Linked DNA regions of Drosophila melanogaster. The gene in region 1 interacts genetically with each later gene. Each region holds a gene or a part of one and is shown on either strand. Other genes may lie near its edges.

What was found.
Region 2: of Zw10 (region 1) and asp, changing one suppresses a phenotype caused by changing the other (phenotypic suppression), as found in Drosophila melanogaster (one study listed by BioGRID).

What each region holds. Positions count from the first base shown.
Region 1 is NC_004354.4:2,602,605-2,607,547, forward strand, and holds Zw10 (Zeste-white 10), read left to right. Parts: upstream 1-1,592; 5' UTR 1,593-1,698; coding exon 1,699-3,048; intron 3,049-3,109; coding exon 3,110-3,925; 3' UTR 3,926-4,220; downstream 4,221-4,943. Other genes in the region: Klp3A (Kinesin-like protein at 3A), read right to left, coding at 1-18, 90-241, 315-994; Smyd3 (SET and MYND domain containing, class 3), read right to left, coding at 4,222-4,592, 4,658-4,943. UniProt on the Drosophila melanogaster protein: Essential component of the mitotic checkpoint, which prevents cells from prematurely exiting mitosis. Required for the assembly of the dynein-dynactin, Mad2 complexes and spindly/CG15415 onto kinetochores.
Region 2 is NT_033777.3:24,752,078-24,759,921, forward strand, and holds the start of asp (abnormal spindle), read left to right. Parts: upstream 1-1,771; 5' UTR 1,772-1,963; coding exon 1,964-1,978; intron 1,979-2,050; coding exon 2,051-2,227; intron 2,228-2,279; coding exon 2,280-2,492; intron 2,493-2,571; coding exon 2,572-7,453; intron 7,454-7,513; coding exon 7,514-7,815; intron 7,816-7,844. Other genes in the region: tld (tolloid), read left to right, coding at 1-340, 397-1,343. UniProt on the Drosophila melanogaster protein: Required to maintain the structure of the centrosomal microtubule organizing center (MTOC) during mitosis. May have a preferential role in regulating neurogenesis. Required for germ cell mitosis and oocyte differentiation.

The DNA.
Region 1 (4,943 bases):
AGCCAGCGGCCTGGCCAGCTGCAATTTATATGGAATATATAAAAATGGAGATCAATTTTCAAGCCAGTGGCTAAATGATAGATACTCACATCCCAGGGCATTGATCACGTTGCCCAGGGCCAGAAGACCCTTATTGATGTTCACACCCTCTTTGAACCGATCGCCGCTGGCTAGGGTCTTTGAGCAGCGTTCAGAACCAGCCAGATCCACCAGGTTGAACCTGGACGTGGTAACGGATTGCCTATCGGAGATTGGAGGTCAAATGTGTATAAGCATTAAGTATTCTAACGAGGTGATGGCGGCCCACAACATACTTGCCGTCCAGCTTGGTGGCTACTAGCGTCAATGTGAATATGGCATGGGATCTTGAAGAGGTTTCATTCATAGCCGTGGCGGCCACAGCCCGTCCGGCTGAGCCGCGGATCAGATGATCGGTCACTTGCTGGGCGGATGTGACCACTAGCTCGGTGAGGCCCGGCATGATAATACGGTTCTTGACCTCCCTGATGTCTACGGTGGCCTTGTCCCGAGTTTTCGACGAAAAAAGGTCATAGAACTGCTCCTGGTAGAGCTCCACAAAAGAGCATGTGACAGCAAAACGAAATTCGCTCTGCATTTCCGCAATGGCTGTGAATATATCATGAACGGCGCGTGGTATAACGCCCACATGGTCATCTAACACTCCGTTGAAGGCGGTGCCCATAGTGTAGGTCTTTCCGGAACCCGTTTGTCCATATGCCAAGATTGTTACGTTATAGCCATTTAACAGCTTTTTCACTTTGGCCTGTACACACGTCTCGAATAGATCCTTTTGCGAGTCGTCAATGTCGAAGACATAGTTGTACGTATACGACTCATTCCGGTTGACTGTAACCTGTGGCGCTCCATCCGCCGATCGTTCGACGGCAATCCGGCAGCCGCGATCCAACTCGGACTGCACCAAGGGGCGCACGCGCAAGGCCACTGCCACACAGCTGGGATCCTCGCTGGACATCTGGGGGTAGGGGGAGGGAAGGACAATCATAACATTCCATCACCTTTACCGCCATCTCGACCAACACCACCAACCACTTACCTTCTCTGGGGCACAGCAAGTCCGACTTTGGTTAACTGATCAACTGGTTAGCACTTACAAAAACTTAGAATTTTGGTTGGTCTAGATTTTGGAGCAACGCGGCTTCTCCACGCGCAGCCCGGCACTCTCAATGAATTCGATTTTTGGATCAAGGAACTAAACTAATGAAACGCGACGCTAAGAAGCAAATGCATTTCTGCCAGTATTTTTAAAAATGGCGTTGTTATCGATTCGTTGCAGATGTCGATTAGTGGCGCGATCGACGGAGGTGCCGGTGTAGAAAGATTTCGATTTTTTTATAATTTGGCTCTTGAATAGCACATTTGCAAAAATGTGGTTGGACGATTTGTGCACGCCGATTTGACAAAATGAATCATTGACAGTGTATCTACATACTTATACATAAAAATAAAAGCTACCTAGATCTACAACTATTTTAGCTACTGCCAGTGATAAGAGCCCAATTCTTGTCAACTAGCCAATTCGCCGATAGCCGATAGCAGACAGCCGCACATATCTATCGCTTTTTTGAACAATCGTTGGTAGCAACAGGGAATTGCAGAAACCAGTTGTCTTGGGTTTCGCAAGAATTGGAAAAGGAGGATCTGGTCAAAGAGCAGGACATGGAGGAAGAGGCGCCGCGGTTCAATGTGCTGGAGGAGGCGTTCAACGGCAATGGGAACGGGTGCGCCAACGTGGAGGCCACCCAATCGGCCATATTAAAAGTGCTGACGCGCGTTAATCGCTTCCAGATGCGCGTCCGCAAGCACATCGAAGACAACTACACGGAGTTTTTGCCCAACAACACGTCGCCGGACATATTTCTGGAGGAGTCGGGGTCCTTGAATCGCGAGATTCACGACATGCTCGAGAACTTGGGTTCCGAGGGACTGGACGCCTTGGACGAGGCGAATGTCAAGATGGCGGGTAACGGCAGGCAGCTGCGAGAGATCCTTTTGGGTCTGGGTGTCAGCGAGCATGTGCTAAGGATCGACGAGCTGTTCCAGTGCGTGGAGGAGGCCAAGGCCACCAAGGATTACTTGGTGTTACTGGACCTTGTCGGTCGTTTGAGGGCTTTCATCTATGGCGATGATTCCGTTGACGGGGACGCGCAGGTGGCCACGCCAGAGGTTCGACGCATCTTTAAGGCTCTCGAGTGCTACGAGACCATCAAGGTGAAATACCATGTACAGGCATATATGCTGCAGCAGAGCCTCCAGGAGCGCTTCGATCGCCTGGTGCAGCTGCAGTGCAAATCCTTTCCCACATCGCGTTGCGTCACCTTGCAGGTGAGCCGGGATCAAACGCAGCTGCAGGATATTGTGCAGGCTCTCTTCCAGGAGCCCTACAATCCGGCGCGCCTCTGCGAATTCCTGCTGGACAATTGCATAGAACCGGTGATCATGCGCCCAGTGATGGCCGATTACAGCGAAGAAGCCGATGGTGGCACCTACGTTCGATTGTCGCTTTCCTACGCCACCAAGGAGCCCAGCTCAGCGCAGCTTCGCCCGAACTACAAGCAGGTCTTGGAGAACCTCAGGCTGCTGCTGCACACGCTGGCCGGGATCAACTGCAGTGTGTCCAGGGACCAACATGTTTTTGGCATTATTGGCGATCATGTGAAGGATAAAATGCTGAAATTACTGGTGGACGAGTGCCTGATACCAGCTGTGCCCGAAAGCACGGAGGAGTATCAGACATCCACGCTGTGTGAGGATGTCGCCCAGCTGGAGCAGCTGCTTGTAGACTCATTCATCATCAATCCCGAGCAAGATCGAGCCCTAGGGCAGTTTGTAGAGAAGTACGAGACCTACTACCGCAATCGGATGTATCGTCGAGTTCTGGAAACGGCGCGGGAGATCATCCAGCGCGATCTGCAGGACATGGTGCTGGTGGCGCCCAACAACCACTCAGCCGAAGTGGCAAACGATCCCTTCCTCTTCCCACGCTGCATGATCTCGAAAAGTGCTCAGGTAAGTCGTTCGCTAAACGAAACGATTGATTACGCACTAATGGATTCATTTTCGCCGGCAGGACTTTGTCAAACTAATGGACCGCATTCTTCGCCAGCCCACGGATAAACTGGGCGACCAAGAGGCCGATCCCATAGCCGGCGTCATTTCCATCATGCTGCACACCTACATCAATGAGGTGCCCAAGGTGCACCGCAAGCTGCTCGAGAGCATTCCACAGCAGGCCGTCCTGTTCCACAACAATTGTATGTTCTTCACACACTGGGTAGCGCAGCATGCGAACAAGGGCATCGAAAGCTTGGCGGCGCTGGCCAAGACACTGCAGGCCACCGGTCAGCAGCATTTCCGCGTGCAGGTCGACTACCAATCCTCCATCCTGATGGGCATCATGCAGGAGTTCGAGTTCGAGAGCACGCACACGCTGGGCTCTGGTCCACTGAAGCTGGTGCGTCAGTGCCTTCGCCAGCTGGAGCTGCTGAAGAACGTGTGGGCCAATGTGCTCCCGGAGACCGTGTACAATGCAACCTTCTGCGAGCTAATCAACACATTTGTCGCCGAGCTAATCCGTCGAGTGTTCACGCTGCGCGACATTTCCGCACAGATGGCCTGTGAGCTGAGCGATCTCATTGACGTGGTGCTCCAGCGGGCGCCCACGCTTTTCCGCGAACCAAACGAGGTGGTCCAGGTGCTCTCTTGGCTTAAGCTGCAGCAACTGAAGGCCATGCTGAACGCGTCGCTCATGGAGATCACAGAGCTGTGGGGCGACGGCGTCGGCCCGCTGACCGCCAGCTACAAGTCGGATGAGATAAAGCACCTAATCAGGGCGTTGTTCCAGGATACGGATTGGCGGGCCAAGGCCATTACGCAGATTGTATAGGGCGCGTGCGCCTTTTTTGCGAGCGAGGAATGTTGAACGGCGGATAGACATCACATTTGAGGTGGTAAACGGAGTCTAAATTTGATGATCACCATCAATGTGTCCTTACTTTAATTCCTTGAATTGTTTACCACAAATGCCAAAAGTAATAGAATTTGATAATCTTTAATTCTCCGAATGGTTTCTGTTGTACATAGAAAAGTAATTATCCACAAAAATCCATTCCATTCTTCCCGCAACGCAACACAATATTTAACTTAAGACTTATTTAAATGAATAAAAACAACTAAATCCCATTAGTGCGCCTCTTGTCGCGCTTGTAGAACGAGCATGTATAGCTGCTCAGTAAGCAGTCTGTGATCTCGGCCGTGGGTGACGGTTAGGATGCGTTGGGCCTCCTCCAGATGGTGCAGTGCCTCCTTGGAATGGCCCTCGTAGAGCTGAATCTTGCCCAGCTTCATGTGAAGCAGGCCCAATAGCGGATTCCAGGGTCCGTGGTATTTTCGAAAGCCTGGCAGCAAACGTTGCCCGTAATCCAGGGCGTCGCTCCACTTGCCCACTTCGATGGCTGCTTCGAAGGCCGCATCGAGCGTCTTGACGTACCACACATTCAGGGGATGGAACACGCCAGTCTGCTTGTCCAGACACACCTTGCACACATCGAGATCTGTGATCGAGAGAGTGAAAATGTGCTTATTATGGAGCTAATTCCATTTCGTCGCATCTACTCACAGGCCACGTCCTTCATGTTCTCCAGATTGTGCCGGGTCAGAGTCATCGCCTCGTTGAAGGCATTTCTCAACTTGGGACTGATGCCGGCATCGCATCGCGGGCAATTATTGCGGTCCACACTGATTCCCGCACCGCAGTTGCGATTGGGACACAGGGCAGCCAGCATCTCCTTCGATTCCTTGGCATCCGTGCACTTGCTGCACACGCATAGGAAGTAGTAGTGCTCCTTGAGGTCCAGACGCCTCTGCTCCGGCGTATTGAGCAGGTCGATGTAGCTGATGAAGAT
Region 2 (7,844 bases), on another chromosome or scaffold:
GCCACCAAATCCAATGGCTCGCTCTACTCACCATCGTATCCGGATGTGTATCCCAACTCCAAGCAGTGCGTTTGGGAAGTGGTTGCGCCACCGAATCACGCGGTGTTCCTAAACTTTTCCCACTTTGATTTGGAGGGCACACGGTTTCACTACACCAAGTGCAACTATGATTACCTGATTATATACTCCAAAATGAGGGATAATCGCCTGAAGAAGATTGGCATTTATTGTGGTCATGAACTACCTCCAGTGGTGAATTCCGAGCAGAGTATCCTCAGGCTGGAGTTCTACTCGGATCGCACTGTCCAGAGAAGTGGATTTGTGGCCAAGTTTGTAATAGGTAACTTACAGAAAAAAATTAATTTACGTACGATCTATAATATCATTATTCCACAGATGTGGATGAGTGTTCAATGAACAATGGTGGCTGTCAGCACCGATGCCGAAACACCTTTGGATCCTATCAGTGCAGCTGCCGCAATGGATACACATTGGCTGAAAATGGACACAACTGCACGGAGACGCGTTGCAAGTTCGAGATCACCACGTCGTATGGAGTGTTGCAGAGTCCCAACTATCCGGAGGATTATCCAAGAAACATTTACTGCTACTGGCATTTTCAGACCGTACTGGGCCACCGGATACAGTTGACATTCCACGACTTTGAGGTGGAGAGCCACCAGGAGTGCATCTACGACTATGTGGCTATCTATGATGGTCGCTCCGAAAATAGCTCAACATTGGGCATCTATTGCGGTGGACGTGAACCGTATGCCGTTATTGCCTCCACCAATGAGATGTTTATGGTACTGGCCACGGATGCGGGTCTTCAGAGAAAGGGTTTCAAGGCCACCTTTGTCTCCGAATGTGGTGGCTACTTGAGGGCCACAAATCATTCACAGACCTTCTACTCGCATCCACGATACGGCAGTAGGCCGTACAAGCGGAACATGTACTGCGATTGGCGCATTCAGGCAGACCCGGAAAGCAGTGTCAAGATCCGTTTCCTACACTTCGAGATCGAGTACTCGGAGCGATGCGACTACGATTATCTGGAGATCACCGAGGAGGGCTACTCAATGAACACTATCCACGGCAGATTTTGCGGAAAGCACAAGCCGCCAATCATAATCTCCAACTCGGACACCCTTCTGTTGCGATTCCAAACGGACGAGAGTAACTCATTGAGAGGCTTCGCCATCTCCTTCATGGCCGTGGATCCACCGGAAGATTCTGTTGGCGAGGATTTCGACGCGGTTACACCCTTTCCGGGCTATCTCAAGAGCATGTATTCCTCAGAAACGGGCAGCGACCACCTCCTGCCACCCAGCAGACTCATTTAGATAAAATGAGAGGTCCAGCGAAGGGATTTAGAGTTTAATGTTTGTTGTTGAAATTTGTAAATAGATTGTGAATAAAAGATATTTCGAGTCATTTTGTTTACCCTATATTTTATTTTTAAAGGCACATAATATTTATATCTGTGATAATACACATTTGAATTTGGCGCTATAAAACTGTGCAACGTTCACACTGAGGATATCGATTGGTGGTGTTAACACATCTGGGTTACTCACAATTTATGTAAAATTACACAAAATAATATTCCTTAGAATGATCTTATCATATTAAATAATTTATGTTTAAAAATTGCGGACAAATGTAATCCTTATATTTTTAAGTCTATCGAAAACCATTCTGAAGACCCCTAACATTTCACAATCGATAGGTCGAATTGTTCGATAGCCCTTTGCTCCAGCAATCAAGCAATCGAGTATCGGCGTCGCTTCGTTTCGAATTTCAGTTCGAATTTGGATTTGTGCGGCGACGCTCTAATTTGTTTAATTTTTGTTCGTTAATTGTGTTAATTGATTAGTTAGTCGCTGTGTTAATGGACCACTAAGTTAGCTGCGAGCCCGTTTCTGTTTAGTTCAAGTTATTTCTGTTTTGGCCATTCCCTGCAATGAGCGCCTTTGAGGTTAGTTGAGTCCTCTTTTTGGAACTCCGGCAATAATTTTCCGAGAAATAACTAGATTACCGGTACTTACAGATCACAGTGACGCCATCGCGCCTAAAGCAAAAGAAGCGCGCCGAAGGACGCGAGCCCGCCGTCGTCGTCATGGCTCCGTTCTCCGCCAAGGCGATTGTGCAGTTCGAGGATGTGCCGATAACAAAGACAGCACGGCGCCAGGTGCGCGTTCTCAATCCCAGCGACGACGACATCGAGGTTAGTGGGTTGCATACGGCCTGGCAACTGTTATTTGATCAATGTTTTACAGGTCAAGGTAATGAAGGCCATCCGGGAGGAGCACAACTTAAGCCTGGAGTGGATGGAGCACACGGTGCCTGCAAGAGATGAGGTATCCATGGAGCTAGTGTGGAGCCCCGTCCTTGAGGTGGCCTGCAAGGAGACGCTGCAGCTAATAGACAACCGCAACTTCCGAAAGGAGGTGATGATCATACTCAAGTCCAAGAGCAACCAGCCGGTCAAGGTCAGTCAAAAAATGCATTTGCCACCCCTTTTACTTACATACCCTCTTTTGCATGTATCTCTTACCTTTCTACCTGAAGAACCCGCGCAAATTTCCTACTGTCGGCAAGACCCTGCAGCTGAAATCGCCGACAGGAGCTGGCAAGACAATGAAAAGCGTGGTATCCGCTGCTGTGCAGCAAAAGAAGCGCATGTCTGCAGCAGCAGCGCCTCCCTCCAAGCAGACATGGCGAGTGACTGCTCCTTCGCGTCCCGCTGCATGGGCACATCCACCTCCACAGGCTCCTCTTGTCGAGAAGAATGTATACAAGACTCCACAAGAAGAGCCCGTATACATATCACCACAGCCTCGCAGTCTTAAGGAAAATCTAAGCCCTATGACGCCAGGAAACCTACTCGACGTGATTGACAATCTGCGATTCACACCTCTCACCGAAACCCGTGGCAAAGGACAAGCTACCATTTTCCCGGACAATCTGGCAGCCTGGCCCACACCAACACTTAAAGGGAATGTAAAATCATGTGCTAATGATATGCGGCCGCGTCGAATCACTCCAGATGATCTAGAAGATCAGCCTGCCACAAACAAAACGTTCGATGTAAAGCATTCCGAGACTATCAATATTTCGTTGGACACCTTGGACTGCTCCAGGATCGATGGACAACCGCATACGCCCCTAAATAAGACAACAACCATTGTGCATGCCACGCACACCAGAGCTCTGGCCTGTATTCATGAGGAGGAGGGACCAAGTCCACCTAGGACGCCCACGAAGAGCGCCATACACGACCTGAAGAGGGACATTAAGTTGGTGGGTTCACCCTTACGAAAGTATTCCGAGTCCATGAAAGATTTGTCACTTCTATCGCCACAAACTAAGTATGCCATTCAAGGGTCTATGCCTAATCTAAATGAAATGAAAATCCGCTCGATCGAACAGAATAGATATTACCAGGAGCAGCAGATCCAGATAAAGGCCAAAGACTTGAATAGCTCCTCTAGTAGCGAGGCTAGTTTGGCCGGCCAGCAGGAGTTTCTATTCAACCACAGTGAGATCCTCGCTCAGTCCAGTCGTTTTAATCTCCATGAAGTAGGTCGGAAGTCGGTGAAGGGAAGTCCGGTGAAGAATCCTCACAAGCGCCGCTCTCATGAGTTGAGTTTTTCGGATGCACCTAGCAACGAATCATTGTACCGCAATGAAACTGTAGCCATTTCCCCTCCTAAAAAGCAACGGGTTGAGGACACTACTCTGCCCAGAAGTGCAGCGCCGGCAAATGCATCTGCAAGAAGCAGTAGTGCCCACGCCTGGCCACACGCCCAATCCAAGAAGTTTAAGCTAGCACAAACCATGTCACTGATGAAGAAGCCCGCCACACCACGAAAAGTCAGGGACACTAGCATTCAGCCTTCCGTCAAGCTCTATGACTCGGAGCTGTATATGCAGACGTGCATCAACCCGGATCCATTTGCAGCAACTACGACAATTGATCCATTTCTGGCATCTACCATGTATTTGGATGAACAGGCTGTGGATCGTCATCAAGCTGACTTTAAAAAGTGGTTAAATGCCCTTGTCTCCATACCCGCTGACCTGGACGCAGATTTAAATAACAAAATAGACGTTGGTAAGCTGTTTAACGAGGTGCGCAACAAAGAGCTCGTGGTGGCTCCCACCAAGGAGGAGCAGTCTATGAACTACCTAACGAAATACCGCCTGGAGACGCTTCGTAAGGCGGCTGTGGAGCTCTTCTTCAGTGAGCAGATGCGCCTGCCATGCTCCAAAGTGGCCGTATATGTCAACAAGCAAGCTCTGCGCATCCGTAGCGATCGTAATCTTCACCTAGACGTAGTTATGCAACGCACCATACTTGAGCTGCTGCTTTGCTTCAATCCCCTTTGGCTGCGCCTTGGACTGGAAGTGGTCTTTGGCGAGAAGATCCAGATGCAGTCTAATCGAGACATTGTAGGCCTCAGCACCTTTATCCTCAATCGCTTGTTCCGGAATAAGTGTGAGGAGCAGAGGTACAGCAAGGCATACACACTCACCGAAGAGTACGCGGAGACCATTAAGAAGCACTCATTGCAGAAAATCCTCTTTTTGCTGCTTTTCCTCGATCAAGCTAAGCAGAAGCGCATCGTCAAGCACAATCCCTGTTTGTTTGTTAAAAAGTCGCCACATAAAGAGACCAAGGATATTCTGCTGCGCTTCTCGTCGGAGCTGCTCGCCAACATTGGTGATATTACGCGGGAACTTCGTCGCCTGGGCTACGTTCTACAGCACCGCCAAACATTTTTGGACGAGTTCGATTATGCCTTCAACAACTTGGCTGTGGACCTAAGAGATGGCGTGAGACTAACCCGAGTCATGGAGGTAATTTTACTACGCGATGATCTAACCCGCCAGTTAAGGGTGCCAGCCATCTCTCGCCTTCAGCGGATCTTCAATGTAAAGCTAGCTCTGGGCGCACTTGGTGAAGCCAACTTCCAGCTAGGCGGCGACATCGCCGCCCAAGACATCGTTGACGGACATCGTGAGAAGACGCTTTCCCTGCTCTGGCAACTTATTTACAAATTCCGCTCGCCCAAGTTTCATGCGGCGGCCACGGTGCTCCAGAAATGGTGGCGCCGTCACTGGCTGCACGTTGTTATCCAGCGTCGCATTCGCCACAAAGAGCTTATGCGTCGCCACCGGGCCGCTACTGTCATTCAGGCCGTGTTCCGTGGCCACCAGATGAGAAAGTACGTGAAGTTGTTTAAGACGGAACGCACTCAGGCCGCAATAATTCTGCAAAAGTTCACCCGTCGGTATTTGGCCCAGAAGCAGCTATATCAGAGCTATCACAGTATTATCACCATCCAGCGCTGGTGGCGAGCCCAACAACTGGGAAGGCAGCACCGCCAGCGGTTTGTGGAGCTCCGAGAGGCTGCGATCTTTCTTCAGCGGATCTGGCGGCGACGACTCTTTGCCAAAAAACTATTGGCGGCGGCGGAAACAGCCAGACTTCAGCGATCGCAAAAACAACAGGCAGCTGCTAGTTATATTCAAATGCAATGGCGAAGCTATCAGCTGGGCAGAATTCAGCGACAGCAGTTCCTGCGCCAGAGGGACCTCATCATGTTTGTTCAGCGCAGGATGCGAAGCAAGTGGAGTATGCTGGAGCAGCGCAAGGAGTTCCAGCAACTAAAGCGTGCAGCTATAAATATCCAACAACGCTGGCGAGCGAAGCTTTCAATGAGAAAGTGCAACGCTGATTATTTGGCACTTCGTTCCAGCGTTCTTAAAGTTCAGGCTTACAGGAAAGCCACAATCCAGATGAGAATAGATCGTAATCACTACTATTCCCTGCGAAAAAATGTTATCTGCCTGCAACAGCGACTGAGGGCCATCATGAAAATGCGCGAACAGAGGGAAAATTATCTGAGGCTGCGAAATGCTTCAATACTAGTTCAAAAACGCTACCGCATGCGTCAACAAATGATCCAGGATAGAAATGCATATTTAAGAACCCGCAAATGTATCATCAATGTCCAGAGGCGCTGGAGAGCCACTCTGCAGATGCGTCGAGAAAGGAAGAACTACCTTCATCTCCAAACGACAACCAAACGAATTCAAATCAAGTTCCGTGCCAAGCGCGAAATGAAAAAGCAAAGAGCCGAGTTTCTTCAGCTGAAAAAGGTTACCCTTGTAGTCCAGAAACGTCGGCGGGCTTTGCTGCAGATGCGAAAGGAGCGCCAGGAGTACCTACATCTGCGCGAGGTTACCATAAAGCTGCAGCGCAGATTCCATGCTCAAAAATCAATGCGGTTCATGCGAGCCAAGTACCGCGGCACCCAGGCTGCTGTGAGCTGCCTGCAGATGCATTGGCGTAATCATCTCCTTAGGAAACGGGAGAGGAACAGTTTCTTACAACTGCGTCAAGCAGCAATAACACTGCAGCGACGGTACCGAGCTCGTCTGAATATGATCAAGCAGTTGAAGAGTTACGCCCAGCTGAAACAGGCAGCTATTACCATTCAAACCCGATATAGAGCCAAGAAGGCAATGCAAAAGCAGGTGGTCTTGTACCAAAAGCAAAGGGAAGCCATTATCAAAGTGCAACGACGATACCGCGGCAATCTGGAGATGAGGAAGCAGATTGAAGTCTACCAAAAACAGCGCCAGGCAGTCATCCGCTTGCAGAAATGGTGGCGCAGTATACGCGACATGCGGCTGTGCAAAGCGGGCTACCGAAGGATTCGACTCAGTTCATTGAGCATTCAACGCAAGTGGCGGGCCACAGTGCAGGCTCGTCGCCAACGGGAGATCTTCTTAAGCACCATCCGCAAAGTGCGACTTATGCAGGCATTTATCAGAGCAACTTTACTGATGCGTCAGCAGCGCAGGGAATTCGAGATGAAGCGAAGGGCTGCCGTAGTGATCCAGCGCCGGTTTCGTGCTCGCTGTGCTATGCTAAAGGCGAGACAGGATTACCAATTAATCCAATCCTCTGTGATCCTGGTGCAGCGCAAATTCCGTGCTAATCGCAGCATGAAGCAGGCACGCCAGGAATTTGTCCAGCTGCGTACTATTGCAGTCCATTTGCAACAAAAGTTCCGTGGCAAGCGTCTAATGATTGAGCAGCGTAATTGTTTCCAACTGCTCCGCTGTTCCATGCCGGGCTTCCAGGCACGTGCCCGCGGCTTTATGGCTCGCAAACGATTCCAGGCCCTGATGACACCCGAGATGATGGACCTCATCCGCCAGAAGCGCGCCGCCAAGGTTATACAGCGTTACTGGCGGGGCTATCTAATCCGACGACGTCAGAAGCACCAGGGTCTCTTGGATATCCGGAAGCGTATTGCTCAGCTGCGGCAAGAGGCAAAGGCGGTAAACTCTGTGCGCTGCAAAGTCCAGGAGGCGGTGCGTTTCCTTCGCGGACGCTTTATCGCATCAGATGCGTTAGCAGTGCTAAGTCGATTGGGTAAGTGATCCAGCTACGTTAGTCCTTATTATAACTAATCCTGCTTAATAATCCCGGCAGATCGTCTTTCGCGCACTGTGCCACACCTGCTCATGTGGTGTTCGGAGTTCATGTCCACGTTTTGCTATGGCATCATGGCTCAGGCCATTCGATCAGAGGTGGATAAGCAGCTTATAGAGCGCTGCAGCCGGATCATCCTAAATTTGGCCCGCTACAATAGCACCACGGTGAACACGTTCCAGGAGGGCGGTTTGGTCACCATTGCCCAGATGTTATTGCGCTGGTGCGACAAAGACAGTGAGATATTCAACACTTTGTGCACCCTCATTTGGGTATTCGCCCACTGTCCTAAAAAGCGAAAGGTAGCTAAATAGCGAGAGGATTAGGTTTT